2 linked regions of the Yarrowia lipolytica genome follow. The protein of the gene in region 2 interacts with the protein of the main gene of each other region in a pairwise test. Links are inferred from orthologs where the notes say so. Each region holds a gene or a part of one and is shown on either strand. Other genes may lie near its edges.

What was found. The genes of interacting proteins can lie anywhere in the genome.
Region 1: the proteins of YALI1_D18130g (region 2) and YALI1_E08937g interact in binary tests that used the Saccharomyces cerevisiae proteins (3 or more experiments, as listed by UniProt). The link is inferred for Yarrowia lipolytica from reciprocal best matches to the Saccharomyces cerevisiae genes ARG3 and CAR1.

Annotation. Positions count from the first base shown.
Region 1 is NC_090774.1:892,246-895,796, forward strand, and holds YALI1_E08937g (uncharacterized protein), read right to left. Parts: upstream 1,437-3,551; coding exon 504-1,436; downstream 1-503. Other genes in the region: YALI1_E08915g (uncharacterized protein), read left to right, coding at 1-278.
Region 2 is NC_090773.1:1,811,041-1,814,599, reverse strand, and holds YALI1_D18130g (uncharacterized protein), read right to left. Parts: upstream 1,571-3,559; coding exon 584-1,570; downstream 1-583. Other genes in the region: YALI1_D18167g (uncharacterized protein), read left to right, coding at 1-329; YALI1_D18115g (uncharacterized protein), read left to right, coding at 2,979-3,037, 3,087-3,276.

The DNA of each region.
Region 1 (3,551 bases), on a different chromosome or scaffold from region 2:
TCTTTTCCATTGATCTGCCCGATTCAGACCTCGAAAAGTCTTTTGGACAGATCAAGGTGCCCCTGCTGTTCCTCATGAGCGGAAGCGACGCATTTGTGGACCCCAAGCAGGACAAGCAGAAGATTGTTGACCGATACGAGAGCTTTGTCAAGGGCGGAAACTGGTCCGAGCTGTCTGGTGTCATTGACGGAGCTTCTCATAATGTTGGACGGGATAGCAAGGAGGGAGCTGTTGATGCTGTAGTGGAAAAGATTGAGAGTTTCGTGAAATCAATCTAGGGATCTCCAGGCCGTACTGACCCTACACAGACATCTGTATGTACTAGTATTTCCCTCACCTATAGCGAGCTGTCTTTCTAACATCATCTAACGTCATCACAATACATTCTACAGTATCTCAAATACCGTCCAAAATAAGAAAATCAAATCTATATATATTACAGCTAAATACTCCCCATCCGTATCCAGTGAGTCTATGTCTTCTGCCCTTCATTCTAACCCGTCTTACAGAAGAGTATCTCCGCAAGCACTCTTGGCGAGGGAAATGCCAGCGCTGATGGTGTCGTCAATATCCTTCTGAGAAGCACCAAGAGCGGGGTTGCACTCGACGAGGTCCATGGCGACGAGCTTTCCGGTGGCAGCAAGCTCCTCGCAGATGTAGCAGGCCTCTCGCCAGGTGAGACCTCCTCGAACAGGAGTTCCAGTGGAGGGAGCAAAGAAGGGGTCCATGGCGTCAACGTCGAAGGAGAGGTGAATGGGTTTGCTGAGATCGGGGTTGACCTTCTGCAGAGCCATCTCGACCACCTTTCCAATGCCGTACTTGTCCACATGGTGCATGGAGTAGGCGGTGATGCCATGTTCCTTGATCATCTTCTTCTCAAAGTCGTCCACGTCTCGCAGCGCAATGTAGGCGAGGTTCTTGAAGTCGAGACACTCGGGGACCCATCCGAAGGGATCGTCCTTCTCGGGCTTGGCGAGCCCGGTGACCCACGACAGAGGACAGCCGTGCAGGTTGCCAGAGTCGGTAGCGGCGGGAGTGTTAAGATCGCAATGAGCATCGACCCAGATGAGGCAGGCGTCGGGGTACTTCTCTCGCACACCGGCAACAGTGCCAACAGCGATGGAGTGGTCACCCCCGATGGTGAGCACAAACCGTCCAGAGACAGCAGCCTCAGAAACAGCCTTGTAGACCCGTCGAGAGGCCTCAGCGACGTAACGGGGTCGCTTCATCTTGCCAATGTCCTCGTCAGACTCGGGCACGGGGAACTCAAGGTGTCCGTCGAATTTGGTGTCCCAGTCGAGGCTCTGGAGGTGCTTCTCGAGACCTCCTCCGAGCAGGTACTCGGGGCCCTTGTCGACACCGCCCTTGGGCTGGCCTCCGGAGAAGGGGGCAGAGACAATGCTGAGCTTTCGTTCGGGGAAGTATTCAAAGTTCATTGTGTTGTGTTGTGTGGTGGTGGTGTGGTGGTGGTGATGGTGGCTGTGGTGGTGATGGTGGTGGAGATCAAGGTGGATCAACGCGGAATCAGAATCAGATCTTTTGTATGAACTTACACAAAGCGTAGGTGTCAAGTCCGGGCGTGGTAGAGATGGTGGAGAAGAAGAAACACGGTGGCCAAAATCCGGCCCTTATATAAAGAAAAAAATCGCCGTTACACCCCTAAGTGCAGGAACAGGCGATGAGGTGTGCATGAGTAGACGGCGCTGCCAAAAGCACTAGAAAAGAGCCGGTTGGGGGGTCTCACCGGACGAGGAGAGAGCGGGTCACGAGACCAAAGAAAACCGCACGTGGTTCGACACGAAAAACTCCCTTTTATACGTCCGCAACGCCGCCAGAGTCTCGCACTCCCTCCTCCAACCAAAATCCCACGATAACACACTCGAACCAAATTGAGTTTTATGAAAACCGTAATGCAACATTTTAGACGCACTACAACACGATCCATGACCCTAAGTACAGGTGTGAGCGAGTGAGGCATTTGAGGGGGTCATGAGGGGTTGCCGTGCAAGTGGAGAAGGGAGGAGAGGGCTAGGGCAGATGGTGGAAGTGGCAATGATGATTATGGGTGGGTAAGGGTTATTGATCCCTGGTGCCTGTTTGAACAGTGCGCATCACCCAAGGTGCCATGTGCTCCTGTCAAAAAGGGTCTAACAGCTTCCACTGGACTCTAATAATAGCCGTTGCTTTTTGATGTTTCTGATAGCAAATGTTTGAAGAGAACTTTATCAGGAGACGTGAGTTCGATTCACCATGGAGGTGGATTTGATAGGTATATTTGCTATTCGCCAGAGATAGCTTGTGACTTTGAGATAGGGCAAGAGATGGATTTTTGTAGAGGAGTGATAAGATAAAAACTGGAATTCTCTGTAAACCTGTCAGTTCAAGAAGGATACAATCGCCCCGGGGCGCGTTGGTGCGCGTAAGAGAAGGAATGTGTGATTTGAGTATCTCCTGTCATGGTGAAATTTAAAAATATTTATAGGAAAATATCATAAAAGAAATTAAATATATGTCGATATGGGGAAGATATAAGAAGATAATTGTGAGGTGAATATCTGGGAATTATATAGATTAAGATAATTTTGATTAAAAAAAAGTCCAATGAGCTATCACTTCCATAGGCCCCAATGACTCTACTTGTCTGATCCGACTCTGACTTACATTGCCTTGATTATGAAACTCGGCCTTGACGACTCCAGTTGGCATATATATAATGAATTATATATAGCTGTTGGAGCTGACTATTCTAACGAAAGAGTTCTACTCACATTCATTCTTCTCATAATCTCTCTTAGTTGGCTCAGCTTGTGTACCATGGGGGAGGAGGGATGAGGGATGAGGTCTACACGAAGTAAGGCTAGAAGTAGTTCAGATACAAAGCATAGCTCTACTTTGGCGTAATGATTCACTCAATTATCATTTGAGATCGCACTACTACTCGATGAGCGTCTGGAACAAAAGTCGTGCGATCATAGACATTCATAGCATGGGTTTTATTACGAATAGCTCCCCCAGATGCGTTGGCACAGTCTTAGGGTACTGTACTCCGTGGGGTCATTAATTTGGAACGCGGTTGTATTTCATTAGGTGTTCCTCACTTAACAGCTTTGTTTGTACAATGTCTTCCTTCGTTGTTTCCCCAGATGCGTAAGAATGTTCCGTTTTCACTCATATACAAGAAGTGATTACTCAACTGTGAATACTTCGGACGATTATTCAGGATAAATGAACTCTCAGACTGAGTCGCTAGCTTCTAGTGGTTCTATATGTTTAGCAAATGACCTCTCTCCAAGATCTCTGGAATACAACATGCTTTTCACAAAGACAGAGAAACACTTGACTCAATTAGTTCTAAATAGACACAAGAGCTGCCAGTTTTGCCAATATCAGATCTTTGTCAGTCTAGAATGTTGTAGCTTCCTGTCCGTGCTACTTTGTAATTATTGGTTTGGAGAGGTGCTAACAGTAGTCAATCAGTAGCATGCAGCAATGACGACAACCATTTACGACGGATACTAATGATAGCCCACTTTTCAATGAGTACATCATGA
Region 2 (3,559 bases):
CCAAGTTGCTACCCCATCTCGAATCGGGCGTGAATCCAATTGAGAAGGTGAAGTTCCAAATTCATGTACCACGGGCCATTTGGAACGGACGAGTGTTTGCACTTGAAGTTGACAGTGTTCAGGGGCCTCAGGACGAGACTCTGTTGGCGAGTATCGACCATACCTCGCTCGACAAGTTTTTGCATGTCACCATTGGTACGGCGGAGGAGGCCATTCGTCCTATGGAAAGTGGTCCTATGGTTCAGAAGTGGGTGGAAGGAGAGCGAGAGGGTATGGAGGCCGTCGACTTGGATGTCACGCTGCATGGACATCTCAGTGCCTTCGTTTAGATAGCTAGGAAATGCATTTATTACATGGATTTATTGGATGTACGAATGTACAGTATGTACAATTACGGGAATAGTCGAATGGATCCGACGCTCAATTAGATAACTGGATTTGTCTGGTGAGCTCAATAGCTCATTCTTGGTACAGTTCATATTTAAACATTCATTACTAACTTCAGTGCGACGCACTCATGAAGCTGCTATATACACAACTGGTACTATCTTGAAACCAGTGGCGCAAGTGACTCGCTTTTCACTTACTCAATCTTGCCCTTGTGGACCACAAAAGCCTCGAGAACAGCAATGGCAGCGTACAATCTGTTCTCAGCCTCGGGGAAAACCAGAGATCGGTCCGAGTAGAAGACCTGATCGGAAACCTCCTCGGGGTGTCGGGGAAGGCAATGCATGAACTTCCAGGTGGGCTTGGCGAGCTTTCCAAGCTCCTCAGTGACCTGGTAGCCAGCAAACTGTTGCATCTTGAGCTGCTTTTCGCTCTCCTGGCCCATGGAGATCCAGGTGTCGGTGACAATGACATCGGAGTCCTTTACTGCCTCCTTGGGGTCGGTAGTGGTGGTGAAGGTGGCTCCGGACTCCTTGGCGGCATCATTGCAGATCTGGATAATGTCTTCGGAAACGGGGTACTCTTTGGGGGTGGCGGCGGTGACGGAAATGCCGGACTTGAGAGCGGCAATTGCCAGGTCGTGCAGCACGTTGTTTGCGTCTCCAACCCAGGCGAGCTTGAGGTTCTTGGCGTCTCCAAAGGTCTCCTTGATGGTGATCATGTCGGTGATGGCCTGCAGGGGGTGGTACTTTTCGCAGAGGGCGTTGATGACGGGCACGGAGGAGGCTGCCGACAGATCGAGAATCTCCTGGTGGGCTCCCACTCGGGCAACGATACACGAGGTCATGGAAGACACGACTCGGGCGGTGTCATAAGTGGACTCGTTGACGCCCAGCTGGATGTCGTCCTTACCCAGAAACATGGGCTGGCCTCCCAGAAACGCCACGGCTCCCTCGGTGGACACTCGGGTTCGGGTCGATCGTTTCGAGAAGATGAGAGGCACCGTCTTGCCCTTGAGCAGATCGGACAGCTTATCGGTCTCGGTCTTGTTCTCCTGCTTGATCCACTTCTTGAGAACCAGACCTCGGTCGACCAGCTTAGTCAGCTCTTTGGGGGACAGGTCGCCGATGGAGATGAGGTGTCGGGGGGTCATTTTGGTCAGCGTCGAGAACGGTCGAATCATTTCGGTCTTCTTTTTTGTGCGCAAACGACTTTACTTATCTTGGTCGCCAAGGACAGAAGAGCTAAAGGTGGTTTGACTTCCTGCACACTGACGAGGTGAGTCAGTCATCATCGTACATCGTGGTCTTCAAAAAAGTTGTAGACCTTACTTGGTTGCTTGTCTAACCATGAGTCACTCGAAGAAACGGCCAAACCAAAACCGAAAAAAGACAATCTGAAGCAAAATAAATGCAAATATCTCCACCCTACACACCCCATTGACTCATTTATGGGACCCTAACTTTGCGGCTAACTCGGAAGCCAGGGTTAGGGACAAGCAGGGCAAGTGAAGGAACCAACATCTCGGAGTAGGGACAAGTACAATCGAGTACAGTACAATCGAGTACGTACAAATACAATCATCTAGACACAGTAGCACTCCATTCAGATTGTCAAATTCACCGCTCTATTTCGACCCAACTACCCCCAAAAATCTGCCCTTGATCTGCGGCGAAATTTCACCTATACCCCCGGATTTTTCAAAACAAACTTCTCCGTGCAGACGTACTTGTTCATGGATGAGTAATAAAACCTACCGACAAAAAGAAATCTCGAAACAACAGGTACATATCCGCGATTTCTATGTTCCTTTTTAGTCACGGGAAGAAAAAATGAGTGATTTCGTAAGCCTCAATATAGCCCATCAACCACAGTACAAGCACACGATACGTTCTGCTCCAACCCCCTCTTGCTCCAAGTACTGTAGGTTCGTGGGGTTAAACTATACATTAGCCTCGGTAAAGTCGACCAAACAGAACAGTCATGGAAAGAGATGACCAAACGTGAAGTTACAAGTCGTCGTATTGACACGGGCTTTGGTTTTCTTCGTAAAATGGGGAGGAGGGGTCACGTGACGGGACTTTTTTGGCGGCATTTTGAAAAAAAGAAAGACAGATGTTGCTTGTGCTCGTGCTCGTGCTCGTGCTCGTGCTCGTGCTCGTACAGTATGTACTCACGGGCCGTCCACGTGATTTTGCTGAACCTGATCCATACATCATGTTCGCGACGAGAAGTAGTGCACGTGACCCGATCTGGCTCTCACGTGACTTGCCACCCATAACCGGCCGGATCGACACCTTCCGACGGTCCGAACATCCGCTGAAGCAGCATGTGTACTGCAGGGGACGGCGGTAGGAGGACCTTTTTTTTGGTTTTTGGGCAAGGTCACGTGATCGTCATCTGGGAGAGAAAATTTACGCGCGTGACTAACAAGTACTGTAGCTTGTTAACGGGTCTGGTCATCATGTCACTTTCACTTGTGGCTGGGTTTTTGACGTTGTCAGGGTCCAGTCTTGAGTGACTTTTTGGAAGTCCTTTGATGGAGAATATTTCGCTTCAATCGGGCTAAACCGTCATAAAGCCTCTGTCGAATGAACCAAACGACCCTTGTGCGAAAAACTCTGCTGCACATTCCTCCTCTGGCGGGCATGTCCGACTATTGATGGTTTCATTTTGGAGCTACTGTGTGTGACTGACAGGCGCGCACAGAGCGGACTTGGACCAGAGTCCATTTCCGGGACTGCCCGGGAGCTGATTGGCTGTCAAGACCAACTTGCCTGGAGGCCGTTTCTTGGCGTGAAGAGCCTTAGGGGGACGAGAGGTGTAGCCGCGGAGCTAGCCGCAAACAAGGAGTTGCCATTGCTGATGGCAGGCTACCTACAGTTGTAGTTGAGAGCTGGTTAGTACTGTCCGAAACGCGAATGACGTGTGACGTTTGAAGCGATATGTTGGTGGTCCTGTCCGGATCACTGATGTTCTACCTCAGGTCACTGTTCACGAACCAGAGAGTAGAATATCTCTTAAAAATCTCTTGTTTTTTGGACAACCTGAAACCACCTTCTTGAAAATTATACAACTAGTTCAGCTAACCGCGGCTAAGCGCGTTCAACTTGTACTACCACCAACTAGTACGGGCGGTAGTTGTTGTAGCTCGCGCCCAGAGCTGATAATA